Ovis aries: one gene and its partners. The protein of the gene in region 4 binds, or shares a complex with, the protein of the main gene of each other region. Links are inferred from orthologs where the notes say so. Each region holds a gene or a part of one and is shown on either strand. Other genes may lie near its edges.

What was found.
Region 1: TADA3 (region 4) and TAF5 share a complex: the UniProt entries of both Homo sapiens proteins name them as parts of the TFTC-HAT complex. The link is inferred for Ovis aries from reciprocal best matches to the Homo sapiens genes TADA3 and TAF5.
Region 2: TADA3 (region 4) and SUPT7L share a complex: the UniProt entries of both Homo sapiens proteins name them as parts of the STAGA transcription coactivator-HAT complex. The link is inferred for Ovis aries from reciprocal best matches to the Homo sapiens genes TADA3 and SUPT7L.
Region 3: TADA3 (region 4) and TAF4 share a complex: the UniProt entries of both Homo sapiens proteins name them as parts of the TFTC-HAT complex. The link is inferred for Ovis aries from reciprocal best matches to the Homo sapiens genes TADA3 and TAF4.

Annotation. Positions count from the first base shown.
Region 1 is NC_056075.1:23,655,013-23,663,125, reverse strand, and holds the start of TAF5 (transcription initiation factor TFIID subunit 5), read right to left. Parts: upstream 4,597-8,113; 5' UTR 4,560-4,596; coding exon 4,001-4,559; intron 1,723-4,000; coding exon 1,485-1,722; intron 1-1,484. UniProt on the Homo sapiens protein: The TFIID basal transcription factor complex plays a major role in the initiation of RNA polymerase II (Pol II)-dependent transcription.
Region 2 is NC_056056.1:34,674,849-34,682,283, reverse strand, and holds part of SUPT7L (STAGA complex 65 subunit gamma), read left to right. Parts: intron 1-2,591; coding exon 2,592-2,916; intron 2,917-3,799; coding exon 3,800-4,037; intron 4,038-6,786; coding exon 6,787-7,049; 3' UTR 7,050-7,435.
Region 3 is NC_056066.1:54,788,725-54,796,702, reverse strand, and holds the start of TAF4 (transcription initiation factor TFIID subunit 4), read right to left. Parts: upstream 5,251-7,978; 5' UTR 5,191-5,250; coding exon 3,915-5,190; intron 1-3,914. UniProt on the Homo sapiens protein: The TFIID basal transcription factor complex plays a major role in the initiation of RNA polymerase II (Pol II)-dependent transcription.
Region 4 is NC_056072.1:16,893,077-16,901,173, reverse strand, and holds the start of TADA3 (transcriptional adapter 3), read right to left. Parts: upstream 5,398-8,097; 5' UTR 5,179-5,397; exon of another isoform or gene 5,041-5,178; intron 4,922-5,040; 5' UTR 4,864-4,921; intron 4,185-4,863; 5' UTR 4,159-4,184; coding exon 3,952-4,158; intron 2,607-3,951; coding exon 2,356-2,606; intron 2,230-2,355; coding exon 2,124-2,229; intron 744-2,123; coding exon 602-743; intron 511-601; coding exon 407-510; intron 371-406; exon of another isoform or gene 1-370. Other genes in the region: ARPC4 (actin-related protein 2/3 complex subunit 4), read left to right, coding at 5,770-5,772. UniProt on the Homo sapiens protein: Functions as a component of the PCAF complex. The PCAF complex is capable of efficiently acetylating histones in a nucleosomal context. The PCAF complex could be considered as the human version of the yeast SAGA complex.

The DNA of each region.
Region 1 (8,113 bases), on a different chromosome or scaffold from region 4:
TCTCAACATGGGTGCTACTAGTATTTGGGGCAGAACAATTCTTTGCCAAGTGTGACTACCTGCACATATTGGAACTTTTGGTTTCCCTAAGACACCTGATCCTCCAGTCAAGTTGATACAACCACCAAAAATACCTCCAGTTCCAAATAGCCAGGAAGGAGGAATAATATTACACTCAGTTGAGAATCACTACAATAACTTCCAAAATAATCGGTCTATGATCACTTCATCCCCCCAATCATTGTTTGCCCCAACATAAAGGTCCTTTCAAAACATAAAATCTAATAAAGCATGGTTCTTCAACAACTTCTGTAGCAAACAGCAAAGATGTCTGTCCCCAGATATTCATTTTTTTCTTTCTTCCTCCACAATAAAACACCGGAATACTAGCTGAGCACACAGACATCTAGGTAAAGACCATATTTCCTACCTTCCTTGGCCAATGACTAATGACATAAAAAAGGGAGAAATACTTGCACTTCCAGGAAGGATGTGCACCCTCCCTGCTCACTCGAACACTTATCTGATTTCTCAGAGCTGGAGAGTCACCATGTACCACAGTGGAAACTGCATGACAAGGATGTTAGCACTACATGATCAAGAGACACAAAGGACTCCATACCAGTCCTAGAATGCCTTCCATCATGAGAGAGAGAAACAGAATTTTATTATACTCAAGCCTATACTGTTTGGGGTTCTAGTCACTCTCATGTAATCTAATCCTAACACAGCTTCATACTGCTCTTAGTAGCAGCAGCAGTGCGTGTATGCTTAGTCGTGTCCAACTCTTTGCACCCCCATGGACTGTAGCACACCAGGACCTCTGTCCATATGATTTTCCAGGCAAGAATACTGGAGTGGGTTGCCATTTCCTCCTCCAGGAGATCCTCCTGACCCAGGGATTAAACCTGTGTCTCCTGCATTGCAGGTGAATTCTCTACTGCTCTTAGAAGCAAAAATAAAATTTTTATTTAGGCAGCTATTGTTTGATTTTTCAGTGAATCTCAGCCAAATCTAATCCCACCCAATATGACTAACTACTGATCTTAGGGTAAACAAAGACCCTCAACATGGCCTAAGAACCTGCCTGTCCCAGCCACTAACCAACCATCAAGCTTCATGTAGTACCAAACCCCACCCCCCATACTCTGCTCCAGCCACACTAGCCTTCTTTCACCTCGGGGCCTACCATGATCCTTCCTGCCACAGGGCTGTCACACAAGTTTTTCCCTTTTCTCTTCCTCTGGTTAACTCCTCTCCAGCCTTCAGATCCTATCTCAAACATCACCTCTAGGAGCCTTTCCTGACTTCAACAAGATCAAACCCTTCATTTTAAGTTTAGCAGAGGCACCAGGTACCTCTCCTTCATAAAGTATTTTTCGAGTTGCAATCTGACATTTGTGTAGTTACAGATGTATATAAACATTTTGTGTGTGTGTGTATATATATAGCTATATATACATATTTTTTATAAATTCACATACTTCTCAAAGAATGATTTTGCTTCATTCTCATGTTGATTGTAGACTAGTTCCAAATACATGTGTACAAATAGGGGATAAAAGAGTTGGGATAGTTCTGCCCGATGGCAGTCCAAGGAACATTCAATGAAGTGTTTCAGTCCGCTATAGTATTCTTCATACATCGTGGGGTCTCCCTGTTGGCTGTAGGCTGAGAGCACGGCACTGACATCTGGCTGGTCTTCCACAGCTACACTTCCAACTGTTTAAAAAATGAAAAATAACTTCAAGAAAATGACCTGACAAGCACCAAAAGACTAAGGCTGTTTTGTTAAGGTCCAGAGGAGAACTGTTTCACAGATGTTTGTCCCTCTCCTCTCAAACACTCTTCCCCGACACAATCACAAAATCTTTTAATGGGATTCAGTTTGTTTCAGTTACCCATCCAACACTTCCTTGGTTTGTCCACATCTTAAAATAAAAATTTTCAGATCAACAGCAAAAAGATTCAGCATTTTTCCTAGAGCTTCACTATTTTAAAAACAAATTTTATAAAACATGGTATGTGCAAATCAAACAACGGTATTACTCTTCTCTCAAGGCTCAGTGCAAATGGCACTCACCACCACAAAGCCATGCCCTGGAGTAACATTCCCAGCCCTCTGAGCTACCTGAGTATTTTATAACTTTTCAGCAACATATCTTATCCTGTGTTACCTTCACGTATGTCCATCTATCACTCCCTATAAAATACAACCATGTTAATGGTGGGAAGAACTTGCCTTTTATATTTCCAAAAGATAAATCTATTTTATATGCTTAAAACAATTTCCATAACCACCATTTCAAGGCAAAAAGCATGAGTATTTATTTGTAATATTTCAATACCAAACAACGATACATCTGTCAATCAAATGAGGGTTTGTGGGAAATTTTTTTTAAGTTGTGATTACAGTACTGTTATGCTCTTTACTGCACAAATTTTCAGTTTTTTTGGTTACTATGATGGCCTCTTTTCCTTTCTATTGGTTTCTCAGTTACAATCTGAAGGTCAAGTTTCTAAAGAGATGAGAGATTATAGCAAAATAATCAACCACATAATTCATCCATCTTATAGTTCATTCCCAAATTCAGATTCAAAAAAGATTCCTCTCAATCACATTTGCACACAGTTCTACTTATGGGTTACAGCGCTTATTCATACCTCACTCCTGGAAATGCTGCCAAGATTAGGTCTCATAAACACAGGTTAATTTGGCAAGAGGCTCTACAATGGGTAATTTAATTCAATAAACATTTTTTACTGGCTCAGGATCACCTTTGAAACTTTATGTTGTATATGACTTTTACTGCATGGACTTTTTGACAACAGTTGCTGAAGGAAAAGGGGAGCGGGAGCCTCAGGTGTCAGGGATAGGTACTTGGCATAAACTTGTCAGTGCCAGACATTTTACATATATATGAATCTCACAATAACCCGTTTAATAGAAGGAAAAAAACTCTCAAGCTTAGGAAGAGTAACAATCAGCATCACACAAGTAAAAGCAACAGAGACAGAAACTGAAGTCCAATACCTGTTCCTAAATGAATGGGTCTCAAACCTTGCCATAGATCAACATCTCTTGGAAGCATTTTTTTTTTTTAATCCTTAGAATATTTATTTATTTTTGGCTGCGTTGGATCTTACTAGCGGCTCCGAGGATTTTTCCTTGCCGCATGCGGGCTCAGTAGTTGCAGAGCGCGGGCCTAGTTGCCCCACGCTTGAGAGATCTTAGTTCCCTACCACGTTCCCACATGCCCTACGTTGGAAGGCAGATTCTTTTTTTTTTTTAGTTTTTATTTTTTAAATTTTAAAATCTTTAATTCTTACATGCGTTCCCTAACCACTGGACCACCAGGGAAGTCCCTGAAGCATTTATTTGAAAATGCAGATTCCCAAACTCCACCTTCACAGGATCTGATTCACTACGTCTGAAGTGATGCCCAGGAATCTGCATTTCTCTAAAAGATTTGATACCAATGGTATTTAGCCTATATTTTGAGAAAGACTGGCTTCACTATGTACCACCACTCTCTGGCTGTGCGGTCCAAAGCAAATACCTTGGCCTTTCTCGGTCTGGTTTCTCATCTCTAAAATAGAAGTACTGTCTACCTCACAGTGGAACTGTGAAAATTAAGATAAACAACACAAAATATTTATAGTAAAAGTACGCTAGTACAAATAATGTTGCTGCATCCCTGCCCAAAGCTCAAGAGCCCAAATAAGAACCAAAAGCCTGGAAGTTCCCGCCTCTCCGCGCCCACCGTCCCCATACATCCTTCGGCTCAATAGCTCTCCACAGCCTCTCGCTGGAACTGACAGCTCGGAAGAGGGTTTGACTGCGCAGCCGGCGCACTAGGGAAAGGGGCGGGCATGTGGCCCTAGAGGCGGGCCCAGGAAATTCAAAACAAGCCCGCAGAGGTGCAGGCCTGCCAGCCTCTGCCTTCCCGGCTCACTCCCCGCCGTGCCGGTCCTGCCTACCCCGGACCCAGCGGCTCACCTTTACCCGGAGCCACAGAACCTGTCGCTAAGCCCGAGACGGCGGCGGACCCCGAAGCGCCGCTGACTGGAGGATCCGGGGCCGAAGGGCCGGGCGCCGAGGCGGTGACCCGGCTAAGAAGCGCGCTGGCTGTCTCAGCGCCGGCGCTGTCTGCCTCTCCCGGGGCTCCGGAGCCCGCCACTGCCTCCTCCAGCAGCCGGGCCTCACGGCGCAGCGCTTCTTCGGCCTCGCGGAGGTTGCTCTGCCGTAGAAACTGCAGCACGGCGAGCAGAGTCTGTCGGTCGTGGGGAGCGCTGGCCTCCGGAGCAGCGGCGGGCACCGGGGCCGCCCCCGCCGGTGCAACGGCGGAGACAGCCACCGAGGGTTTGGGGGTCCCACCATCCCCGCCGGCCGACGACGCCGCCGCAACGTTCCCGCCGCCGCCGTTGGGGCCGCTGTTGGTTGTGCCGCCGCCACCTTCGCCAGCGCCGTCCCCCGCCTGCGGAGGTAGCAGCGTCGGCGGTCCCTCAGGCTCTAACTTCACCGCCACCTCCGTCTGCTCCTCTGCCAGCGCCGCCATCTTGCGGCTGAGCCACCTCGCGCCGTCAAGCGTGATTGCGTTTTCGCCATATGGAGGGCGGGGAGGAGCGTTTTACGACATCTCTGGAGGGCAATTTACGGCAGTAGGAGGGGCGATAAAGAAGGAGAAAAAGGAATCGCAGCAAGAGCAACTTTCAAAAGTGAGTGGCAAAAAGGCAGGAAGTGGGACGTCGGGGCAGCCTCTTGCATTTGCCGGATAATAGTTACATTTATTACAGACCAGCTATTTTTCAGGCACTGCGATGGACGTTTTACATTATGTGACCTTTTATTCAGCAGTCATATAAAGTACCATTATTCTCACGATACAGATGACTGAATCAAGACCTAAAGACATTTTTTAAATGCCAAAGTCACACAGGAGGAAAGCGTCAAGATTCAAAACCAGGTCTTTATCTTAAAAGCATATATCATTTACCAGAAGGAGGCTTCTGAGTTACTGGTAATGTTTATATTTTTTTCTGGATGGCGGTTACTTTTCTTTTTCCCATTTATGCCTTATAAAAATTAATTGGGCTGCAAGCTCACGTTTTGTGAACTTTACGCATATATGTTATATTTCAATAAAAAGTTTTTAAGAACCTGAATTTTGTGATTGTGAAATGTGTATATGCTGTATTCGTGCTATGTTAACCATTATTACAAGCAGGCCGCATTTTAGTTGTATATTTTAAAACAGTATGTGCCATTTTGCAACATGCTTCATAGGTTTAAAAGCACTGCTGCATGTTTGAGGACTTACGTTGTGGCTCAGACGGTAAAGAATCTGCGCTGCATATTTGGTCTCCTTTGACTCTCACAACGGTATGAGATAGGTGCAGACAAGAAAAGTGAACTTGGGACATGGGGAAGATCGAGTTATGTGAGGATTAAATAAGATAGAGTCCGTGTGGTCGCAAAGAGTCGGACACCACTGGGCAACTGAACTGAACTAAACACATAATAAATAACTATTGGTTATTTTTACTGAACCTTAAGCGGTGTTCTGCAAATGTTTCCTAAGAAAGTCTAATCATGACATACATGGTGATCTCAAGACTGAAATATAAAACTAGTGGAATTTGACATAATGTAAGATTATGAAACATGGGTAGGGGCAAGGGCAGAGAGGGGGGAGGAGATGAGCATTTAAGTTGTTCAGTTTCTTGCTTTACTAGCAGTTGCACCTTCCTCTGCATCTCATTACTTTTCTCTATGAATTTGTATTTCCCGGAAGGTATCAGCTACCTTGTCTACCCAGAAGGAGAGGCTAAAGCCTAGCATTGGTAAAAGGTGAAGGATGCACCCAAAACAGGAAAACCTGTGATGTGTTGGCCCCATCACTCCCTGTTTATCAACATACATGCACACATGCACACACACATATCCTCAGAGGTTTCACAGTTTTTACTGATCTATCAATTTCAGTGCCATCTCTAGGGTTGAGTGTGATGGGAGAGGTAGCCACTGGTGTGAGTTTACAATCTTGTTCAGTTCCTAAGTTTAAATTCACAAAGCTAAGAGTGAATTTAGAGTTTGCCTCCTAAGGTAGGTAATTGCAAAACTGACCTGCACTACTCCAGGAGCAACTTAATAGTGTGGTTATTGACTACTGCCACTGAATGTACCTAGTCTGAGCTAAGGTGTTCTCTAAGTGTGAGATATGTGCTGGATTTTAAAGACAAAAAGAATAAAATGGCTCAATAATATTTTTATTGGTAACATGTTGAAAAGTATTTTTATATGAGTTAAATATTAAAATTAATTTCCTATTTCTTTTTACTTTTTTGTGGAAAGTTTTCTGGAAATTTTTATTTACATATGTGGCTCACCTTGTATTTCTGTTGAACAAACTGATCTAGACCAGGAGCTTTCAATTTTTTTGGCCATGATTCACAGTAAGAAATATGTTTAACACCAGAACCCATAACCCACGTAGGTATGTGGATATTTATAAGTGAGACAAGTTTTAACAATAATATGTATAATTATCACATTGAAATATATACTCTAATATTTGATAGTCTGTTCTTTAAATAAAATGCTCAGTATGACTGATTAAATTTATTTTAATTTAATTTTTAAATGATCTGCAGTTTGAAAACACCAGATAGTTCAGTTCAGTTCATTCACTCAGCTGTATGCGACTCTGCGACCTCATGGACTGCAGCACTCCAGGCTTCCCTGTCTATCACCAATTCCTGGAGCTTACTCAAACTCATGTCCATAGAGTCAATGATGGCATCCAATGATGCCACCCAGAGGATACCATCTCATCCTCTGTCATCCCCTTCTCCTTCTGCCTTCAATTTTTCCCAGCATCAGGGTCTTTTCCAGTGAGTCAGTTCATCTCATCAGATGGCCAAAGTATTGGAGTTTCAGCTTCAGCATCAGTCCTTCCAATGACTATTTAGCATTGATTTCCTTTAGGATGGACTAGTTTGATCTCCTTGCAGTCCAAGGGACTCTCAAGAATCTTCTCCAACGTCACAGTTCAAAGGCATCAATTCTTCAGTGCTCAGCTTTCTTTATAGTCCAACTCTCACATCCATACATGACTACTGGAGAAACCATAGCTTTGACGAGACGGACCTTTGTTGGCAAAGTAATGTCTCTCCTTTTTAATATGCTTTCCAGGTTGGTCATAGCTTTTCTTCCAAGGAGCAAGTGTCTTTTAATTTCATGGTTGCAGTCACCATCTGCAGTGATTTGGGAGCCCAAGAAAATTAAGTCTGTCACTGTTTCCATTGTTTCTCCATCTATTTTCTATGGAGTGATGGGACTGGATGCCATGATCTTAGTTTCTTGAATGTGAGTATTAAGCCAGCTTTTTCACTCTCCTCTTTCACTTTCATCAAGAGGCTTTTTAGTTCATCTTCCTTTCTGCCTTAAGGGTGGTGTCATCTGCATATCTGAGGTTATTGATATTTCTCCCAGCAATCTTGATTCCAGCTTGTGCTTCATCTAGCCTGGCATTTCACATGGCGTACTCTGCATATAAGTTAAAGAAACAGGGTGACAATATGCAGCCTTGACGTACTCCTTTCCCAGTTTGGAACCAGTCTGTTGTTCCCTGTCCAGTTCTAACTGCTTCTTGACCTGCATACAGATTTCTCAGGAGGCAGGTAAAGTGGTCTTGTATTCCCATCTCTTTAAGAATTTTCCACATTTTGTTGTGATCTACACAGTCAAAGGCTTTGGCATAATCAATAAAGCTGAAGTAGATGTTTTTCTGGAATTCTCTTGCTTTTTCCATGATCCAACAGATGTTGGCAATTTGATCTCTGGTTCCTCTGCCTTTTCTAAATCCAGCTTGAACATCTGGAAGTTCATGGTTCACATACTGTTGAAGGCCAGCTTGGAGAATGTTGAGCATTACTTTGCCAGCGTGTGAGATGAATGCAATTGTGCAGTAGTTTGAACATTATTTGGCATTGCCCTTCTTTCGGATTGGAATGAAAACTGACATTGTCCAGTCCTGTGGCCTCAGCTGAGTCTTCCAAACTTTCTGGCATGTTGAGTGCAGCACTTTCACAGCATCATCTTTTAGGATTT
Region 2 (7,435 bases), on a different chromosome or scaffold from region 4:
ATCCTTCCCTCTCCTCACTGTTAACCACTAGTGTGTTCAATATCTGTGAGTCTACTTCTTTTCTGTTGTGTTCACTAGTTTGTTTTAGATTCTGTACATAAATGATATCATACAGTATTTGTCTTTCTTTGCCTCTTAAGTGTCTTTTAAGCTAGAATAACTTCCCCCTTTTATAATACATGATATTAATCTTTTTTAAGAGTTCGGGTCATTTGTCTGTTCCAAATCAGACTGGATTTGCTGATTATTTTCTCAAGATTCAGATTAAATGTTTGGTAAAAATGCTTCATAACTAATTGTGTTGTACATCACTTATTGCATCTGCCTGTTGATGATGATAATTGCTCCTATTTTAATTGTCCCAAACTAATGAATAAAGAAGAGAAATGGACTTCTTATGTAAGGTTTGCAGTTGGGCTAGATTAAGGCAAGATGATGTCATGGTGCATTGTCTAATTGGAAGTTTTGAAGACACTGGAATAGTGGAAAAGGGAACGAGAAATGTGTCATTACATGCTTGGCACATACTGGTATCGATGTGCCCAACTTCAGAATACTTACTCTGTAGCAATCAGTGGCACCCCACTCCAGTACTCTTGCCTGGAAAATCACATGGACAGAGGAGCCTGGAAGGCTGCAGTCCATGGGGTCGCTAAGGGTCGGACACAACTGAGCGACTTCACTTTCACTTTTCACTTTCACGCATTGGAGAAGGAAATGGCAACCCACTCCAGTGTTCTTGCCTGGAGAATCCCAGGGACGGGGGAGCCTGGTGGGCTGCTGTCTCTGGGGTCGCACAGAGTCAGACACGACTGAAGCGACTTAGCAGCAGCAGCAGCAATCAGTACCATTTACATTTTGAGAGCAGTTGAGCTTTTACAAAATAATACTGTCCCTCATATTAAATTGATGCTATTATTTAGAATTTGTACTTTTGTGTCAGTTTTCTAATTTTAATTGTTAGGAAGATTCTGTGAGCATCAGAAGGTTCAGTTCAGTTCAGTTCAGTCGCTCAGTTGTGTCCGACTTTTTGCGACCCCATGAATCGCAGCATGCGAGGCCTCCCTGTCCATCACCACCTCCCAGAGTTCACTCAGACTCACGTCCATCGAGTCAGTGATGCCATCCAGCCATCTCATCCTCTGTTGTCCCCTTCTCCTCCTGCCCCCAATCCCTCCCAGCATCAGAGTCTTTTCTAATGAGTCAACTCTTCGCATGAGATGGTTTTATATATATTTAAGAGACTGTAACAAAAATAATTTGCATTAGTTATGGGGCTGCAGGAAGAATTATTTTCCTTTAAAATGGGTCCACATATTAAGTAAAACAGTACTGATTTAGCTCTGTTTATTAGGCGCTTCTGAAGTCTTTAGCTTTTGGTCCAGAGAAACTGGCCATGGGAAATGATGATATAAACAGTAAATGAAAAACTACTTGACAGTTGGTTTTCTTATTTTCCAGTTATTAGGTAAATTGCAGTAGTTGCTACTGAGCAGATAATAGCAGCGTGGGTGAATAGCTCCTCAGGCACTCTGTACAGTAAGCACGGGGTGACAAATGAAAAGTGTTCTGGGAAGAGTCATTTTCTGCACCCGATTTTATTTTTATCCATTTACTTCCTTTGTCAGGGGAAAGCAGAAGATAGGAAATTTCAGGAGAACAGGTAAATTATCAGGAGCTTATTAAAAGTTACTTTTAGGAAATCAGACAGCTTTTGAAGTTTTTTTGTTTTGTTTTAGAAAGATAGGATTTTTGCCACAATGATTAGGTGCAAAACAGAGTATTATGAAGAACATAGGATCTAGAGTCAGAAGCTCTATTACTTTCTATTACCAAAAACATTTGGCAAATCACCCCCTCTGAACTTCAATTTCTTCACCTGCCAAATAGGAATAATAATATGGACCCCTACCAATTTCACAGCATAAAGTAGGATAAAAATGCTGTGTAAGCAATTGTTGTTCAGTCTCTCAGTCATGTCTGACTCTTTGCGACCCATGCTGCAGCAAGCCATGCTTCTCTGTCCTTCATTATCTTCTGGAGTTTGCTCAAACTTAGGTCCATTGAGTTGGTAATGCCATCCAACCATCTCATCCTCTGTCGCTTGTAAGCAATATATGTTTTAAACTGCTTTTATAAAATTGAATTGCTTTCCTATTTTACGAATGGTTTGTTGCAGTTAAATTCTAGAGGTTCATATATTGCCCAGCATGTGAGGAACCTATGCTATGCTGAAAATGTGCACCATTGAGCTATGCTCTTAAAATTTATCAGACCCTAAAAGTGATCAAGCAATTGATACAAGAAGATGGTAACTTACTTTTCAGTAGATACCCTTTTATACTGTTTACTATAAACACATATCACCTATGCAAGCTTTATGTAATTGGAACTGCTCAGGGATATGACTGTGGGTTGTTGAGACGTGCCCTGAAATGGCAGCAAGGTAAAACTGGACTATATAACCTGCCTAAAATTCTCCTGGAAAACTGAGCCAGACGTTTGATTAGGGTTGTAAACCACCTAGGAAGACAGGACAGGTCACCCCTTTGCAAGAGAACCAATGACACTCATCGTGTCTCCACTTTCAGGGGGAAAGGGGAGCCTGTGACTGAACTCAGCTGGCACTCCTGCCGACAGCTCCTCTACCAGGCAGTGGCCACAATCCTGGCCCACGCGGGCTTTGAGTGTGCTAACGAGAGTGTCCTTGAGACCCTGACTGATGTGGCGCACGAGTACTGCCTGAAGTTCACCAAGCTGCTGCGCTTTGCTGTGGATCGGGAAGCCCGGCTGGGGCAGACTCCCTTCCCCGACGTGATGGAGCAGGTGTTCCATGAAGTGGGCATCGGCAGCGTGCTCTCCCTCCAGAAATTCTGGCAGCACCGCATCAAGGACTATCACAGTTACATGCTGCAGGTGAGAGGACCCCGAGGAGGGGTGCACAAGGATGTGTGATCTGGGGGTGTTTAGTGGGATCCCTAACACTTGCCCCAGGGTGCAGAGCACAGGGCCTGGAATAGAATGAACTTGACTTTCCTCTTGGCCCCAGATGTGACCCACACTGACCTGGCCAAACCCAGGGTTCTTCTTCAGTCAGTGAAATTATAGCATGTGGCTAGCCTGTTCTTACTCAACACATATTTATGGAGTGCCTATTGTGCAATTTAGCAGTTTAATAGGACAAGTTCCTTGAGCTTGCATTCTTGTTGAGAGAGAGACAAAAACAGGTAAACAAACAATGATCAAAATAATTTCAGATAGCGTTAAGTGCTTTAAACCAGGAGCAAACGAGTGAGATGACACTGCTCTCAAAGGTAGAGTGTGATGGGGGAGATGGCGTTTTTGGTTAAAACCAGAACTATCTAATCTCTTCCACCCTTGTGGCCTTAGGCATTTTGTTCACTGTTTTGCTTTCCCCAAATCTGAAATATAAGAAATTCATAACACCCAATCGGCTTTGCTAAGTGATCCAGATGTCCTATAGCGCTCATTAGCCACTTGTTGTGTTTATGTCAAATGTTAGTTTTTATAGCCAAAAATGTCACCTTTTGTCCCAGTTCTGATATAATACATCTAAATATTTTACCTTTATGTACCTTTTAATTAATCACATACACATTCTCTGCCAAACAAATTTTCTTTACATGGCCCTGCCATTTATGAATTTCAAACTCAAATTCCTCCCATTAGCAGTGATGCTTTATTCGTATTCATCTTCTGTTTGCACCAGATGCCACAAGCTGACTATCCAACTTGCTTTTAATGTTCCTTTGGAAAATTGACTCTTGCTTGCCAACAGATTAGTAAGCAGCTCTCTGAAGAGTATGAGAGGATCGTCAATCCTGAGAAGGCCACAGAGGACACGAAGCCTGTCAAGATCAAGGAGGAACCTGTGAGCGACATCACCTTCCCTGTCAGTGAAGAACTGGAGGCCGACCTTGCTTCTGGAGACCAGTCGCTGCCCATGGGAGTTCTCGGTGCTCAGAACGAGCGCTTCCCATCTAACCTGGAGGTCGAGGCTTCACCACAGGCTTCAAGTAAGAGAGAACCTACCCATCTTGATTCTGGGAGATGTGCCAGCCTCAGTACTTCTTGCATTTTAGACTCAAAGTCTGGAGATGGAAGAGCAAAAATAGGGATGGGCAGGGGAATGGAAAGTCTAAGAAGAAATATAGCTTCACTGATCTAGAGATACAAACATTCTCTTCTTAATTAGTGAAGAGAGAACTAGCACAGTTTTACAGACATTCTTTGAAATTATTCCTAGTTAGGATGTAGAGGCAATGTTACTCTCTTCAGTTCAGTTCAGTCGCTCAGTCGTATCCTGCTCTTTGCAACCTCATGGACTGCAGCACGCCAGGCTTCCCTGTTAATCCCAATTCTCAGAGCTTACTCAGACTCATGTCCATTGAGTCAGTGATGCCATCCAATCATCTCATCCTCTGTCATCCCCTTCTCCTCCTGCCATCAATCTTTCCCAGCATCAGGGTCTTTTCCAATAAGTCTGTTCTTTGCATCAGGTGGCCAAAGTATTGGAGTTTCAGCTTCAGCATCAGTCCTTCCAATGAATATACAGGACTAATTTCTTTTAGGATGGACTGGTTGGATCTCCTTGCAGTCCAAGGGACTCTCAAGAGCCTTCTCCAGTACCACAGTTCAAAAGCATCAGTTCTTCAGCACTCAGTTTTCTTTATAGTCCAACTCTCATATCCATACATGACTACTGGAAAAACCATAGCTTTGACTAGACGGACCTTTGTCAGCAAAGTGATGTCTCTGCTTTTTAATATGCTATCTAGGTTGGTCATAACTTTCCTTTCAAGGAGTAAGCATCTTTTAATTTCACTGCAATCACCATCTGCAGTGATTTTGAAGCCCCCAAAAATAAAGTCTGACAGTTTCTACTGTTTCTCCATCTATTTGCCATGAAGTGATGGGACCAGATGCCATGATCTTAGTTTTCTGAATGTTGAGCTTTAAGCCAACTTTTTCACTCTGTTTCACTTTCATCAAGAGGCTGTTTAGTTCTTCTTCCCTTTCTGCCATAAAGGTGGTGTCATCTGCATATCTGAGGTAACTGATATTTCTCCCAGCCATCTTGATTCCAGCTTGTGCTTCATCCAGTCAGGCATTTCTCATATACTCTGCATGTAAGTTAAATAAGCAGGGTGACAATATACAACCCTGACATACTCCTTTCCCAATTTAGAACCGGTCTGTTGTTCTATGTCCAGTTCTAACTGTTGCTTCCTGACCTGCATACAGATTTCTCAGGAGGCAGGTCAGGTAGTCTGGTATTCCCATCTCTAAGAATTTTCCACAGTTTGTCTGATCCACACAGTCAAAGGCTTTGGTGTAGTCAATAAAGCAGAAGTAGATGTTTTTCTGGAACTCTGTTTTTTCAATGATCCAATGGATGTTGGCAATATGATCTCTGGTTCCTCTGCCTTTTCTAAATCTAGCTTGAACATCTGGAAATTCATGGTTCATGTACTGTTGAAGCCTGGCTTGGAGATTTTTGAGCATTACTTTTAGCGTGTAAGATGACTGCAATTGTGCAGCAGTTTGAACATTCTTTGGCATTGCCTTTCTTTGGGATTGGAATGAAAACTGACCTTTTCCAGTCTTGTGGCTACTGCTGAGTTTTTCAAATTTGCTGTTACTCTCTTGATGACAGTTAATTCAGCCGACCCAGCTAGGTGGACAGATGGCCTCCTGTTCTCTGTATTCTGGTCTTTCCTGGTGCTTGTGCTGAGTTAATTAAGGCAACTTCCAGATAAGTGGAGTAATGTTAATTGCTCAAGGATGTTTGAATAGTTGGGGTTGCTTGGTCAGAGTAGTACCAACAAGTTGAACCTGAAAGGGATTAAAATAGGGCAACTCAGTGATAGGCAGCTGGCTGCTTCTTCCAGACAGACTCCGTGATTCCGTTCAGAACCAGATGGCTCAATGATCCCTAAGTCAAAAAGACTGCAAATAACTCTAGAGGCTCAGTTCTTTACAATTTATTTATTTATTTATTGGCTGCGCCATGCATCATGTGGGATTTTAGTTCCCTGATCAGGGATCAAACCTGAGCCCCCTGCAGTGGAAGTCTTAACCACTGGACTTCTAGGGAAGTCCCAGTTCTTTAGAAATATAGATTATGTCATCAATGACCTAACGATGCAAACAGCCAGTCTTTCAGTGTGGCCTAAACAGAATTAGACCACATTTTCAAAGTACTGGGCAGAGAGCCTTTCACCATGGGAGATGTAATAACCACAGAACAGCATTGCTAGAAGACACAGAGGCAGGAGAGCCAGAAAGAAATTCTTGCAGACATAGGGGTCATGTCTCTTTTCAGCAGTCTGGGAACTGCTACCACCATTTTGTAGTGATCACTAACTTTCCATAATGTGAGAGAGAACCAGGGACCCAAACACAAGGCAGAAAAACAAGACAGCCCTGTAAAAGGACAGGCAAATGTAACACTTGCCCAAGAACCCATGGTTGTACCTACCTTTGAACCATGAATATTTCCACCTGCATAGCTTTAGTTTCCCTGGTTTAGAGGAAATGGAGATGGATGAGGTGAGGTAAAGGAAGGGGAGGAAGTGGAAAAGAAGATATTTTGAGTTGGTAATTTTTTGAGCAGAGAATAACAACCATATTCTCTAGGCAAGTAGAGAATCAGAATGAAAACTGAGGTCAAAGGCCATCAGCCAGCCCTGGGTGGTGTATGCCACCTGCTTTGTTCCAGCCTTTCTTGCTGCTAGTTAGTTCTGTGTTCTTTTCCATTCCCAGGTACAGAGGTAAATGCTTCCCCTCTTTGGAACTTGGCCCACGTGAAAATGGAGCCGCAAGAGAGTGAAGAAGGCAACGTTTCTGGGCACGGTGTGCTGGGCAGTGATGTGTTCGAGGAGCCGATGTCAGGCATGAGTGAAGCTGGGATCCCCCAAAGCCCTGATGACTCAGACAGCAGCTACGGCTCCCACTCCACTGACAGCCTCATGGGCTCCTCCCCTGTTTTCAACCAGCGCTGCAAAAAGAGGATGAGGAAAATATAAAAGGCAAAGAGGGAGACCTCTCCAGACCTAGAAGACCCAACAGAAACTGATGGATTCTAATTTGTTTCCACAAATAATGATTGAACTCTTAAACACAATGAGTTTTCTTGATATCGGTGGAGCTGGATTTAACCAAATAAGTCTACTTTTACCTTTTGCATCCAGTTTTTGTTGTTTTCCACAACCAAGCCACCTTTCACAGATATCACACTGGGATGGTGATCCAGAGACCAAAACAGTGTCCCTGACTTGTCTTCACCACGTGACAAATGACTTAGCTTCTCTCAACCTGTTTCTCTTATACAACCGAGAAGAATCACACTGGGTCTGGCCTACACTGCAGGGATATTATGAAGATGAAGATGTTATTAATAAGCTTCACAGCT
Region 3 (7,978 bases), on a different chromosome or scaffold from region 4:
ATCAAGAGGAAAACTTGGTCAAGGCCTTTGGCCTAAAGTGAGCCCCTACCCAGGTCTACTCTCTCCGCAGAGAGTTGCACTCTGTGTCCCCCATGTCTGTCAGGACACATCCCCCAGATCTGCAGCCCACTTGTGAAACCTCAGCAACTTTCTCACCTACAGAACCAGGCTCCCCAGGGTGCTGAGAACCTATCCAATCTGGGCGCAGTTTTGATGGGAATAACACCATCCTGTAGACTCGGCTACATCCACAGGACGTACTGCTTGAAGCTGATGACAAAGGCCAGGGAGCTGAGACAGCATGTGAATAAACACTACTTGACAGTCGTGCACGGTTCATCCCAATGCAGTTTCACAGCCTTCACAACAGGGTCAAGCCCACTCTCTACCTGGGGAAACTGAGGCCCCAGAAACCATGTCTTCTGTCCCAGGTGAAGAGTGCCCTCAAGTGACAACATATAAACTCCTAAGGCTATCCCTTGTGCCAAACACTTCTGCAGAAGTCGGCCACCAGAACATCCTGAGCCCCAAGCCCTGCCATCCTGCTCAGAGTCGACCATCCCAGAACTCAACCCGGTCTACACAGAAGCTGGCCCCCAGGTTCTTCTTCCTCTTTCCCCACCATCCAACAGTTCCATTCACCGAGGATGGGAACCCCACCCTAGACCCCGTCTTTCCAAGCACAGCCACCTTAAGACTATTCATCTTAAGTCAGCCCCATGCCAAGTCAGTCCTGAAGCCAGGATATAGAGGAAAGGCGTTCTCTCCTGGAATGAGAACTGTACTTCAGCCAAACCTGAGCATCACAGGAGGACAAATTCTCCATGAAAGCAGAGCAGACAGAGACACACACTACTGAATATGCAAACTTGCCAACAAAAGATAACCTTTAGAAATGAGCATCTCTAACGTAACACCTATCTGAAAAGATCTCTTAAAACCATTTGCGCACATGCTAATTTTGGTGTCATATCACTTTTCTCTCCTTTCAACTACAATCATAATATTACTTTTATGTTATGACTACTCTAAGCTGTATAGAACTAACTAGTGCTCTTCACTGTTCTTGGGACCACCGCCTTTGCTACAACAATCTCTCTGAAGACTCACGTGTTCTCAATATTCCCCACAGCAGATTAAAACTGAGACTCTGGTTCCTTCAAACAAGTAAATTAATCACAATAACATCAACGTCTCTTTACAAAACCATCCTGACAAAGACATCAAAACTGAATCTACTGAAACCAAATTCAACAGGAGCTCACAGTGGGCTGGGAGGATGAAATACGAAAGGCCTGGCGGCCCTCAGGGACTCTGTGAAGCCTCTGTCCCTCTGTTTCCATCACCACCACCCACCGACAGTGGGGCAGGCCTCTCTCACCGGTACTCAATTGCCAACAGTCTGTTATTTCACTTGACACCTATGTGTAGCTTTGAAAACCCTGCCCACCCCTAACCCCTGAGTACTAACCAGAGTGCATTATCAGCCAGGCGATAGCTATTTTCACAAGTTAATTCCACCTCTGCTTTATACATTTTTATAATGAGAGCTTTCAATGAACAGGAGACCTCAAGTAGAACTTAGTGTCTTCCAATCGATCAATTACATGAGGTAACTAGAATATTCATAATCTGTCACTTTGATTTATAAAATTAATTTGTACTATTTAAAAGAAAGTACTTTGTTGTGGGGAACTGGTAGTAGTTTTAACTATGCTTTTTCTGCTCCTGCTTTTATTAAAATGATGGAACAGAATTAATCAGAGCTCCAAATGAGCGGATCGACTGTGGGGGTAGGGGAAGCATGAAGAGATGGATGTGAGTTTATTTTCTAGAAAGCATTTGGCCCCTTTAAAGCACAGCTCTCCGCATTTGTCACCCAAATGTCAACATGAGCTGTTCTCTACTCATACACACACACACGCACGCGCACGCACACACACACACACACACACGGGACTACCGCAAAGACTCATGAGAACTCATGCAAAGAGTCAGCACTTTTACAGTTTTCTTCAAGGAGTCGCCTACTTGTCACATGCAGACATCCTTAACACCGCCGGTAGAACAGGAGATGAAAGTGCGTCCAGGGTCAATCATGACAAAGCTGACAGAGGCGCCCTTTCAGAACCACAGCTTCCTCCCCCAGAAGGCGGCAGGCAGTGAAGGCTGCACCTATGCAGAGGCGAGGGGATCCAGTCAGCCCCAAACCGCCACACCTACAGGCATCACACGAGTGCCCCGGGGGGCCTCCTCCGCGGGCACAGCGCCAGCCTCACCAGCTCCACTGACTCACAAACTTCACTGACAGTTTTCAGAACAAAAGCGTCATGCAGGGAACTGTCCTGGCCAGGAGTGGGGCAGGGGCTGAGAACCACTGAGGGGATACTTTAATGAGTAACTAAAAAGTATTTTGACGTTTTACATAACCTGTTACCACCATGACTTCTCTTTTTTAAGCGTCACTAGAGATCAAACATATTTTCCACTAAAAGGTCAAAATACACATAATGTGCAAAACAGAACCTTTAATGAAAACCTCCTACAAACTCAAAAACAAAGCATGTTGTAAGAGGCACCCTGCACCTCTCAGGTACCTACTTCACATCACCTCCTCCTGGGATCAGGGCAGCCCTCACGACCACCCCCAAACAGCACTCTTGGCTGGAACCTTGCCTCCTCCCTTCTGTGGTGTGAAATCAGATCCCTGCCAGGTGCCGCCACCGCTCCAAACCTCACGGCACTGTGACAACAAGACCTTCCTTCTAAGACGCTGAAATCCTCTCAAGGTGACCAACGGCTGCTTCGGAAAGCACGAGGGGACGCACACACAGGCGGTGCTGCTTCCACTGCTCCTGCCACCAGCACACGTTACTACACGGCAGGGGAGGAGCGCTCTGCGTCCACGCAGGCCAGGCCGGGGATGGAAGCAGAGACTGGGAGCCTCCAGCGCTGGGGTTTCTCTCTGCCCAGCAAGCCCGAAAGAAAGCAGCGGGACACACTTAATGCCACGGGGACCTAGAAAGCCTTAAAAAGCTGCCCAGAGAACAGAAGATGGAGTGTAGGTTTGGAGACACTGCCTGTCCTCCTACACCATCTGTACCTCCAAAAGACTCACTGAACGGGGAGCCCCAGCCCACCGCTGACTGCATTGGTAACAATCAAGGTAACCGGGCGTCCTCCAAGTGAGGACTCCGTGCAGAACCACACGGCCACTACGGGAAGTGCTGAAAAACGACTGCAGGAGCCGCGTGAGGCAAGGGCTGTGACCAGGAAGGGTGTGTGCCCCGGGATCCCTACAAGCTCACCTGGGAACTCTGCCATCCTGGTGTCAGCAGGGGAGCAAAAGCTTTCCACGCAGGCTTGCCCAGCCTCACGGAGGGGGCGTCACTCCCCTGACCTCACCGGGAAAGGGGGTCCCTAGACCACCAGAAGGGGACACCAATCACAGACCAGCCCAGTAACAGAGCAGAAGAGTTCAGTGAGGACACAAACCATATGCCTGATCCCAGAAACCAGGGAGAGAACAGCCAAACGTGGGGAAGTCACCGGCCCAGACTGAATAACCCAGCAAGTTGTCCCGAGAGCGCCAGCTGCTACTGCTGTCCACTGTGGGGGCACCGGGCAGGGACACACAAGGCCAGGAGGAGAGAAGAGGGCCCACTCGGCGGAAGTCCCGACAGAGAAAGTTCCCCAACGCAAAGTGGAGAGTAGAAGCCAAGCCCCGCACAGCTAAGAGGCCCCAGCAGCCACATCACGCAACACTAGAGCACATACAGGCCCGGGACCGGCCCGGACCGGGGCAGAGACGCACCGGCAGGGCTTCATGACCTCCGCGTCCTGCCAGCCAGACAACTTCCTGGACTCCCGGCTGGGGAGCACACACACAGCCGCTCGGCGGCGCGGCCACTCACCTGGGGGCAGCTGGAAGTTCTGGATGTTGGTGGGGTTCTGCGGCGGCTGCGGCAGGCGTGGGGCGAGGACCGTGGGCGTCAGCGTGGCCCGGATCCCGCCGGTGGTGGCCGAGGGCGTCCTGGGCAGGCTCTGGGTCACCGCGCTGGCCGAGCCCTTGGGCAGCCCGGTGGGGGTGCCCGGGGCCGGCGGCGGGAGGCCGGCGGCGGCGGCGGCGGGCAGTGCCCCTTGCATAGTTGGCCCGAGGATCATGCCGGACCCCGCGCCGGCCGGGCAGCTGGTCGCCAGGGTCTGCGGCGGCGGGGGCGCCGGCTGCAGCGCGGTCTTGGGCGAGTCGGCCTTGGCCACCTGCGCGGGCGCGGCGGCGGGCCCGGGCTGACTGTTGGCGGCGGGCGCCGGGGCGGGCGCGGGCGCGGGGGCCGGGGCGGGCGTGGGGGCGGGCGCGGGCGCAGCGCTGCCCCCGTTCTGCGCGGCCGCCGGGGGTCCGGCGGGGGGCCCGGGCGGCCGGGCCAGGCTGGCGGCCGCGGGCGGCGGCGGCGGCGGGGCGGCGGCGGCGGGCGCGGGGGGCGCAGGGGGCGCGGCGGGCGCAGGGGCCGCGGGGGGCGAGGGGACGCGGGGCGCGGGCGCGGCGGGGGCGCCGAGGAAGGGCGGCGTCTGGATGACAGTGGCGGCGGCGGGCTTGGGCGGCGGCGGCGCGGGCGCGGGCCCGTTGTGGAGCAGGCTGACAGCAGGTGCGGCGGCGGCGCGGAGCGAGTTCCCCAGCGCGGCGCTCCCATTCAAAGTTTGCGCGGCGCCGGGGCCGCCGGGCGGGCCGTTGCGGGCGGCAGGCTTGGCGGCGGGCTCGGGAGCGGCCGCTGCCCCCGGCGGGCAGGCCCCGGCCGCGGCGCCCGCTCCGGCTCCGGCCCCGGCGCCCGCGCCGGCCTCGAGCGCGCTCAGCTTCGCGGCGGGCCCTGCGGAGACAAGCGGGGCGGCGCGGTGAGGACGCGGGCCCGGCCGGCGGCCGCCCGCGCTCAGGCCGCGCCGCGCTCTACCTGCGGGGGGCGGCTCCGGCGCCGCTGCGGGCGCGCCCTCGGCCGGCACGGCTCCGGCTCCGACATGGTTCCCGAGCGCGCCGGCGGCCGCGGCCCGCGCCTCGGGCGCGCGGGGCGCGAGGTGGTGGTGGTGGGCCGCGCTGGCCGCCAGCTGCGACTCGAGCGAGCCCACCAGGTCGCTCACCACTTTCTCGTCCACCTCGCTGTTGAAGAAGACCTCGTCCAGCAGATCCGAGCCCGCCGCCATCTTTCCTCCTCGGCCCGCCGCCGCCGCCGCTCGGCCGGCGCTGGGCGGGGAGGAGGCTCCGCGCGGGCGGGCGGGCGGGCGGGCGGGCGGCCGCGGGGGCGGGCGGGGGGCGGCGCGCGCCGGGCGGGGCGGGGGCGGCGGCCGGGCGGGGGGCGCGGGCGGCCGGGCGGGGGGGAGGGCGGTGGCAACGCGGTGCGCAGGCGCGGCGGCGTGCCCGCCCCCGCCCGCCGCCCGGCGCCTCACCATTGGCCGCGGCGCCCCCCCGCCCGGCTGCCCGGCGTCCCGTGATTGGCCGTACCGTGCACTTAAAAGGCGCGGCCAATGGCTGCGAGCGGCAGAAGCCGAGGCGCGGGCGGGCGGCCGGGGGTTTGCGGGCTAGTGGGCTGGGGGCCCGGGAGTCCTTGGTCTGGCGGGGATGGTGGGGTGCAGGTTGCCGGACGGGCCAGAGGCTGACGACCCGGAGGACAAGACGGGCGGGGACCGCGGCTGGGGCCTGGTGGGGGCGGCAGCAATGACTGGCTCTTTGTCTCCGCTTGCTCCAAAATGGCTGCGGCCGGAGCTGATGGGATCGCCGGGCGGGCGGGCGGGCGGGCGAGGGAGCGGGGACGCCTATATCGGAGCTAAGGCCGCCGCAGCCCGCGGGAACCCGGCACCCCTTGAGGGCACTGCCTGGGGGCTGGGTCAGCGAGGTAGCCTGGGCGTCGTCGCCATTGCTCCCGGGCGGGCGCAGGCCCCGAAGCTCGGGGCACCGGGCGGGGCGAGCGCGGGCCTGCCCCCCGGACCGGCGCCTCGGTCCGCCCGAGACCGGGCGTCTTGCGCTGTGATGTCCGCAGCTTGGGCGGCGGGGGCGGGGCAGGGGTCGGCGCCCGAGGCCACGCCAGGGTGACTCATCTCCTCCGGCTGCGCGGCCCCTGGCCGCGAGTGTCTGTAAATCACTGGGTGAGACGGTGGTGCCGGCCGGGACCAGCAGCTCGCGTAGGGAAAGGGAGCGTCCAGCTTGGAGGTTTTCCTGGGGTCCTTCTCTCCCGTTCTGTCCTTTTGACGAAGTAAGTTATTTAAAATAACCTTACGAGCACCTTCTCTGTAGGAAGAATTCACCTGAAATTCTCGCCTGCGTTTTTTGTTTTTTTCACCGAAAGATGGTATTCTAGTACATGTCTAGTGGTTTCCTCTCTCTTTTGGGGTGGGGAGGGAGGAGGGTAGACCCAGAGAAGCGCCTCCGGCAGAACAGGCCACACCGCAGTCACACGGCCCGCAGCACAATGCGGGAAGCTGTTGACACACAAATGATCTTTTCTACCCGCCTAACAAAAGAGCCGGCGGCCCCCGCGAGCCCAGCTCCCGGGGCGGGTTCAGACAATGAGCGCGGGGGTTGGAGCCTGCGAAGGGGCCTCCCCGGGCGACCGCGTCGGGGAACCCCTGCAAAGAGAGAATAGGAATTTTGCACCTGAAGCTGACTACTCAAAACACAGGAAAGGAAAAGGGTGGAACAAACCTGGGCTGGGGGTACCTTGAACTCGGGGTGCCTGGGTCCCATCCCCACCGGGCTTTGAGCCCAGCGGGGGCCGACGATCTGGTTTGCGAGCAAGAGCAGAAATGTGGGAATATGTGTAAAATCTGATCTTTAATGTTGACAACTCATCAGAAAATGTTAAGTGAGCCAAACAAAAGCAGGCCCCGGGTGCCGTAGTGGGAAACAGAGGGGTACACCGTGATCTGCAGTCAGAACACCCAGATCGGAGTCGGGACAAAAGTGACAGCCGTGCTACGAGGCAAACCACTGACTGACGCGAGACGGTCAGGCCCGGGGTGGGGGGGAATGGGGGGTCCCCTCTCGCCCGCCCCTGTAGTTACTGGGATCTAAAGTGAAAGGAGCAGGTGGTACCGTCTCGGGCCCCTCCTGCTTTCCCATAGAGGTCCGCCCGCCAGGACCCCTCCAACCCCGGGGCCCCTCCCCCGCCCAGGCCTCCGCGCCGCAGCGGTGCTGACATCACCCCCAGCGTCCTCCGGGGCGCCCTCCGGTCCGGCAGGAAGTGGGAGGTGAAGCGTCGGTGCACCGTCTTCCCTCCCCACCCCGCTCCGCCGCGACTCCGCTTCCAGACGGGGTCTCTGCGCCCCAGCGGAAGGTGGGGGCTACCAACAGCTTAGGCAGCTCTTACGTCTCGGACACCCTGCAGAGACCTGCCCGCCCCGGAGAGTGGGGGAGGGGCGGTAGCCACGTGGCTCCTCCCCTCCTCCCTATGGTGGGCGGGGAGATGCTGCCAGACTGTTAACCTTGGCCACCCTGGGGACTGGAGCATTTTCTTTGAATATCTCTGCATGGTTTTGTTCCCACAAGAAGCTTCCGTAAGACTTATGTAGTTTGAAACAAAAATTCCACCTAGCATGAAAAGAAAAACGGGCCCGAAAACGAGTGTCAATATACACACCAGGTTTAAACATGGAAAAATGTTTGCTGTTAAGTGAGAATGGCAGAACCCCAAAACAGTATATCGTTGCCACCCACAGCGGTGCAAACGTCCAAAGCCATGAGCAAAAAGGAGACCTCCCAGGCTGGCAGCTATGTGGGACTATCGGGTTTATTAAGCGGTATATTGTCTTTTCAATAAAATAGAGAAGATATCAGACACGTTCTCTTAAATATAAGAATAAACATAATCACAAGTCTAATTTCAGTGTTCTATATTTGTGAAAGATATACAGCATGTTACCTATGCTTTTATTGTCTGCCTAAAATACCACACCATAAAACAATTTTTTGAAAAAAGACATACAGCCCGGTGGCAGT
Region 4 (8,097 bases):
TGCTTCCGCTTGTTAGCTGTGTGATGTCAAGCAAACAGTTCCCTTTTTTGAGCCTCAACCTTGTTTGGTGTAATGTGGGGTTAACCACTATCTGCCTTTAACAAGAGGATGTGTAGAAAGCCCTTTGCACAGGGCCTTTCACTAATGCTCCACAAAAGTAACTGTGGAATAGTGGCTACCCTGGAGGTGGGGGAGGTTAAACACTGGGAGGGGCATGAGAGGGCCTTCAAGGATACTGATGATGTTTTATTTTGTGATCTTGGGACTAGTTGTACAAGGCTGCTCATTTGTGAAAATCGATCAAGCTGTACATTTATGACCTATGTACCTTTCTAAATATATACTTCAATAAACAAACATTGAAACAGAATGATAGTGGTTTCTGTTTTGCATTGGGGGTACTCACCTCCACCAAGGCCTGCAGCAGACGCTGTGTCAGGGCACCAAAGGGACACCCGTCTTCTGGCTGCTCATGCTGGGCCTCAGACTTCTTCAGCAGGGCATCCACATCTGAATTGGGCAGACACATGGTAGACTCGTGGGCTGAAGTTCTGGGAACTCAAGTCCTAGCCTGGGGTGGGCAGGGAGGTGAGGGACTTACCTTTAGTGTCCAGTTCGGTCAGGGGCCCCAAGAGGCCTTTCTTCTTGTCAGCCACAGCTGCTGCCCGGGCCCCGTCCTTCTGCTCCTCCAGCAGGTCCTCCTGTGCCCAGCGCTGGGAGTAGTGCTTCCCTAGGGGCGGGATCTGTGGGAGACATCCCACCCAGCCCCAAAGAGATAAATACAGCCAGCAATGCCTGGGGTGTGGCAGGGTCTCTTTGTGCACTTGGAAGTGCCAACAGGCTCTTCGCTCACCCTCCTTCCTTCATTTATGTCTCCCAAGTATCTAGTCCAGGGTTGAGGCCTGAGGCTCAGGTGAGAAGAGATACAGGAGAGAAAAATCTCTACACTCACAGTTTAGTAGAGAAGCCAGGTACATAAACAACTAAAACACACAGAAGGCAATACAGGAAAATTTCCATGATGTAACGTGCAGAATGGTGTGTGTACACAGACAATATCAGTTGAGAGCTATTATCTCTCGAAAGAACTACAGGCCTTCAGGTCAGAAATGAGAGAAATAGCTTATGCACTGCTTGAACTTGTGACTGCCCATATAGATTACCTTTTCAAATAAGTTTTTTAAAAACTCAGACAAGTGGAGTGACAGAGTAGGTTAAGGTGTTGTGGCAGTGCAACAGACAGACCAACCTTCTGCTGGAAAACCTGCAAAACCATTTTGGTGCAGGTAACGTGCAGTAAGGGACTCGAAGGGTGTTAGTTTGCCAAGGGGAGATTGGCATGTACAGAGGCCCAGAGACCAGAAAGGACCTTGTGTGAGCTTGGAGTGAGGGTAAGGTGCTTGGTGGGGCTGGCAAATAATAGCAGTAAAGAGGTGGTGTGGCCAAGGACACTGTGCTACCAAGGACTGAAGCTTGGACCTGAGTCTGTGGGCAATGGGAGCCACACAAGGCTGTTATAAGCACCTCTGATCATGATAGCGAACCTATGGGAGAATTCCCCTCCAACATTTTTCTGTATTTTGTACATTTTCTTTAACGGAACCTCTTTTATTTTCATCATAAAAACTAAAAATAAAAAAACTTCTATACATTACAAAAAAAAGAGAGAGAGGAACTTCCATGGCGGTTCAGTGGTGAAGACTGCTCACTTCTACTGCAAGGGGTGCAGGATTGATCCCTGGTCAGGGAACTAAGATCCCACATGCTACCTGGTGCATCCAATTAAAAAAGCAGAGAAGAGAATCCCTCTAGAGGCAAGCAAGTGTTAAGAGGCTGTAAAGGGAAAAGCTGATGAATTTTTGAGCCAAAGCAAAGGGGATGACAGAGACAAAGGGAGGACTGCACTGAAGAAGATGCCTTAGGATGTGGCAGGGTAGAAGGGAGGAAGCTGAAAGCTAGAACCTGGGCGTCTAAGTGAGTTAATGGAACTGTCAGGAGGCTGGGGAGAGAGAAAAAGGAAGATGATATATAGCTCTGTTAATTGTGAGGCATCTCTGAGCCCTCTTGTTCTCCATCATGTCCAAGATGTTTCCATCTTGTCTCATCATGCCTGGGGTCTTCACCTTGTAATGTTCAGCCTCATCTTCTGGGGGTTTCAGTAGCTCCTCTAGTGTGCGCACTTCCTCACTGGTGATATCAGCACAGTATGGCTCCACCGAAGCCCAGAATCTGCAGGGAGAAGCAGAGCCTGAGGGGGTGCCCCCTGCCCCCTGCCCCACCAGCCTCAGCCCCAGGCCTCTCCACAGCCTCCAGTGCCCAAATCCCAAGGCCCATCTATGTTCCCGGGCCCAGAACCTGTTGGGGGCGTCATTCTTGGGGATACGTGGCACATCAATTGGGTCGTCAGTGAATTCATATTCCTGGATCTTGGGCTGAAGGTTTTTGGATTTGGGTCGCCCAGGGCCAGGGCCAGGCCCATGGCCCGCCTTCCCTTCCAGTTTCTGCTTCTTGGGCTTCCCATGTTTGGGGGGAGCTCCAAGCTCATGGTCTCGACCCAGCTTCAGGAATCGTCGGTCACCTTTCTTATCCTGCCAGTCAGTGAGGATCTGAAATTCAAAGACTGTCACTGAGGATGAGAAGGGAAGACACAGGACAACTCCATCTCCCCATGAAAAATTAGGATCTGGAACTCAAGAAGGCTCTAAGTCTCTCCCCTTCCTCTTTTTATCTACCAAACTTCTACTCATACTGCAAAAATCAGCTCCTTTTCTGTGCCCATCTCACAAGACTTTTTCATATACTTGTCATCATTCCATTCACTTGTCTGTATTGATTCACCTCTGCAGCGCCCAACCTGGTCACACAGTGTTTAGCAGGTCAAACAGGTAGATGACAACGCAGTGCATGATAGCCCGAGGAAAATATGCTGGCGATAACTTTCTATTGAAGGCACGCATGCCTCCCAGCAAACCTTCACTTCAAATGTCACCATGACTAGGAAGCCTTTTCTGTATCAGCTATCTAGCTTCTTAGATGCTGTGTGCTACAGCCCCACTCGAAAAGCTTCCATGGGTTCCCAGGGACCACAAGTTAATTTTATTCATCTTATGAGGTTCAGTTAAAATGGCATCTTCTTTCTATAGGAGTCTCTGGTACCTTGCACCCCTAGGCCCAATCATGTCATCTGGTCATAACTAGAATAAACGGAGTACCTAGTCTCTTCAACAGGATTATAAGCTATTGGGGACCAGGAAGTTCATCTCAGCCATCTCTGGTCCCCAAGTTCTGGCAGAGCACCTGGCACACAGGGCTCAGAGGATGTTTATGCCATAAATAGAAATAATGAGAGTCAGACCAATAAATAACATTTGATATGCTTTCTTAAGTGTCAGACGTTGGGCTGAGCCTTTGCAAAAAATCTCTTAATCCTCACAAAAGCTGAGGGTAGGTCCTATTATCTAGCCCACTTTTCAGATGGAGGACTGATCTGCAGAAGCAGGCAGTTAAGTTTTGCAACGTCACACAACTCAGAAACTGCAGGATTCAAATCCAGGCCTCCCATTCCAGTTCCCCCAGTACTCCTAACCAGAACAGCAATTCACCTGATACGTGTCTGACCTCCCTTTCCTTTAGTTAGCACACTCCCCAAAGGCTGGAATTGTCCTAATTAACTCTACAGACTCAGAACATTGTGAGGAGGGGGGGGGGGGTGTCCCTAGATGCTTAGTGAATAAGAAATCTCACATTTTAGAAGGATCATGCACATTCTTGCATATTTTATGTGTTACACAAGCAATGTTTGGATCTCTCTCTTCAAACCCTGAGATCCTGTAACCTGGGCCTCAGCAGCTGAGGCTAACTCAGTGACACATCCCATAACTTGTCATAGTCCATCCCTGTAGCGGACTGTAGTGACATCCATGTAGTGATGTCCCCTCTGTAGGGTATAACCTGGGTTTCAGCCTCAAGCACCCGCAGGCGTCGGCTGGCAGAGGAAAGCAGGGTCTCAAGCTCCAGCTGCAGAGTGTCCAGCTCCTCGATACCGATGCCGTCATCCTCAGAGCGGGCCAACACCGCTGTGTAGCGAGGACAGACCTTCAGGTGGTCCACTGACTTGAAGTCGTGGAACTGCAAGGGGCAGTCCTTCAGCTCACTCATGGCTCAGGATAGGGGACCCTGTGGAGCTGGAGAGGAAAGGACCATTGATGGGGGTAAAAGTGGCACTAGAAAAGTCCAAGGGCTCCTTCCATCCACCGACAGCTTCGGGGGAGAGTGATGGCTTAGCTACTATTCTCACAGCACCTACTGTGTGCCAAGTGAGGGGCAGACATTTTACTGGCTACTCACTGAATTCCTCACTCAACCCCAAGAGCAGGGACCATGCTCATCCTCATCTTACAGAGGAGGAAACAGACTTTGTAAGCATGCAGCAGGTCCAAGCTTACCAACATGAATCCAGGTAGTTTTGAATTTGTTCAACTAACTGCCATGATATACTATACTACTATGCTTGTCTTTCTGATGCTCTTCCCGTCACTTCCACTCTTCCTGGGTTCTGCTGAGCCCAGAGTTCCAAGCATCCGGTACTTAGGCTAATGTTCTTCGTGCCTCCCAGCCTCTTCTTGTCTCACCCCTCCCCACCTCTGCCCCTTCTCTTTGCCCCACATAGTAAAGAGATACCTGGATCTCTGGACAGCCAGATATACCTGGATTCAAGCCCAGGCTTGACCAATGTCTATGTAGCCCTGAACATGTTAATTGATTCTGAGTCGGTTTTTCCATGCGTAAAATGGGGACAAAAGAAGCCTGAATCTGTTTTCCCTTAAGTCTGAATCTGTAAAATGGGGTAATAATGGTACCTACCTCCCTGGGATGTTCTGAGGATTTAGAGTTGATGCCAGTCAAGAGCTCAGTTCAGTGCCTGGCACAGGAAAAGTGGGGCTGGTTAATGGCTGGCCCCACCCATGGATCGCCCCAATGTCCCGCCTTCAGGGTCCCAGTTCTCTAAGGACACCCTATCGCGGCCCCCGCCCCCTCTACCTTCTCCTTGCTGCCTCCAGCGGCCCCGGGGCCGCGGGAGGGGCGGAGAGTTCCGGTCGGTGAGAGCAACCGCCCCGGAACTGGCTATGTGAGGGCCCCCTGCAGTTGACAAGGGGGCGGGAAGACGCGAGTACCAACCCCAGTCTTTTGGTGGGGGAGGGTTGCGGGCAGCGAGCTAGCCCGCTTGCAGGTGGGGTGCAGAAGGTATGCCACGGGCGTACCCTAGGGAACACCCCGGCGCTGGAGGGAGGGGCTCGGCAGCCAGGCTTTCGGCCCGGCAGTTAGTCTCGCCGAGCCCCAAAGGCTGCAGGTAGGAGGGGCCTGAAGATAGGATGGGGGCGCAGAACCGGAAGGATCGAAAGGCTCCTCCGCCTTGCCTTGCCCTAATATGGTGCCAACCTGAGGTCGGGCTGCACCATTGCATGACTATGAGGGAAGGCGGCGGAAAAAAGACGAGAAAGCCAAAGTCACAAGCAAGAGCTCCATGGGGAACGGGAGAATCTTGAGTAGTGATTTTAAGCTACAGAAGCCTAAAGCTACTAAGACAGTCCTAACGGGAAAACTTACGAGGGACCAAATGTTCTTAGCCTCCCCCTCCCCCGCTCGGAACACAGATGGTACAGTCCGGACGTCCGGGCGGAGACTGCGGCTGCGCTTCTGGAGAAAGGGCAGGCGTCGCGGGGCGGGCCACTTCCGCACTTCCGCTTTCCGGCCCAGCCAGCGCCCGCGATGGTGAGAGCCGGGCCTCGGGCCAGGGACCCCCGTCTTCTGCCTCTAGGCTCTGGGTCTGGGGGAGATGCGACTTTGGAGCGGAGAGGCCCTGGGCCGAGGGATGCTGGGGGTGCGGGGGTACCCTGAGGCTGGAAGAAAGAGGGCGGGGCAGGGGCTGAGGTGAGGAAGGGGCGAGCGGGGGACGCCTTCGTAAGAAGCAGGCTTTGAGGCTTCCTATTCTGTCCTTTGAAGCTGGTGGGGGATACTGAGGCAAGAAAGAAGCCGGAAGTCGCTCCTCCTCGGTTTGTGGTAGCGCCTCGAAGGCACGTAGTACACCTTATAGCCCGTAGTAGGGCCGCTGAGGCATGTAGTAGGAATACCTCCCTACCCAGAGTAGACGTTCACTAAATAAACTCTTTTCTTTCTCGCTTGCTTGATCCCACAGTTCTCTGAGGGAAGCCTCCATACTTCCTTTTCCCACTCCTCATGTTGCCACCAGCTCTTACTTTTACCTCACTGAAGGATCTCTCTTTTGCTGCCTCCACGCAGACCCCTTCCTGGTCAGAATTCAACCGTATCAGCCTTAATATGGAATGTTAAGCTCTGATGCCGCTGACCTTTGCCTTTCAGGAAGTCGTCCCTTTTGATCATTGTGGGTGTTTCTTAACGTCAATTGAGAGTTTGGGTCACTGCCTTCCCCTTCTTTATCTTCTTCCTGTCGATACCTATTTAATGCACAGGTCTTCATGACCATATAATTTATGATGACTCCTAAATCTGCCTTCCTAGCTCTCTTTCAAGGTTTACCTGGATATCTTGAAGACACCTTGAAATTAGACGTCTGGATTAAAACTCACCTCTCCCTAAATTTGCTTGTTCTCTTGTATTCCTTATTCTTGCTCTGTGTTTTCTTACCTCAGCTAGAAACCTGGGATATTCTTTTGTTGTTAAACTGAGGGGATGCCTCTTGATTTTTTTAAACATCATACTTGTTGAAGTATTACACAAGAAGGTGCTTACTCCATTTGTGAAAGGGCAGACGTCATAGGGTTGACCACCCAAAATGTACCTTTTTCAGATTTGCTATGAACTTTGACAGATACAATCTTGCTTGTCCCTCATTGCCCCAGGCCAGGCTCTTATTACCCTACTTAAATAACCGTCTCTGCTGGCTCTGTCACTTCCCTCTCCTCCAATCCATTCTCCACAAAGTCTCCATGCAGTTGTAGTTGTGTAACTTCCTCCTCAGAAAGCCCCAGAAGTTCCTTACCACTTTTAACAGAAGAGCTAAACTCAGTAGCCTAGCATTTGAGATTCCTCATGAATCTCTGGACCCCATCTGCAACCTCATCCATTGAATCTAAAAAAATGCTTCCTGGCAACATTGTACTCATTACTACTGTAATGCCCCTATTTGTTACTCTAATCTTGTTATTTTTTCATTCATTCACTTATTGTACAGAAACTGAGTAAGATGGTGTATAGGAAAGGTCCTGACTGAGCAAGTTGCAGGGTATGTAAATTTGAGTAGAATAGATACGGTCTGTTAACCATGGAGCTTTCAGTTTAGTAAAGGAGAAAATTACTTTTCTTGGAGTTATTTGAAGGGTGTATCATTGTAAATTATAAGTGCTATGAAAAGGGAAGTCAAGAATGACCTCTGAGGAAAGAAGAGGCCTTCTCTGAATAAGCCAAGATCTAAAGGATGACTTAGGCAAAGAAGGGGGAGAAAACCCTGCAAGATAGATGGTTTGGCATGTGTGAAGGCCTGGGGTGAAAAAGAACTTTTAGCTAATACAAGGAATTGAAGAAAGTCCTTTGTTGCTAGATGCCATTTCCTCTACCAGGAATATCATTTTTGTTTTTATCATTGTAAAATCCTAATCCTATTTCCATCTTCAAATCAAAACCAGTTTCTTCTGCAAATATGATTTGTAAATCTTAACTATTTCACATTTTATGCATTGTATCATAGTTACTGTCTGTCTCCCTGACCTGGTTGAACTATTTAAGGGTAGAAATGGTCTTGGTCATTGAATTCCCAACCCCTTGTGTGCCCTGGCACACTATAGATATATACATTTGTTGACTCAAAGCGCAGATTGAAGACAGTTATTCACCTGTGTGCCTCTAGACCAGAGTTTCTCAACTTCAGCACTATTTGGGGCTGAATAATTCTGTTGTACATTGTAAGCTATGTAGCAGTATCCCTGACTTCTGTCTATTCAATGCCAGTAACTCCTACCCAACCTCAGTTGTGAAAATGAAGAATGTCTTGCCATTGCCATATGTCCCCTGGTAGGCAAAACAGTCCCCTTTTGAGAACCACTGTTCTAGTCTTAAAAT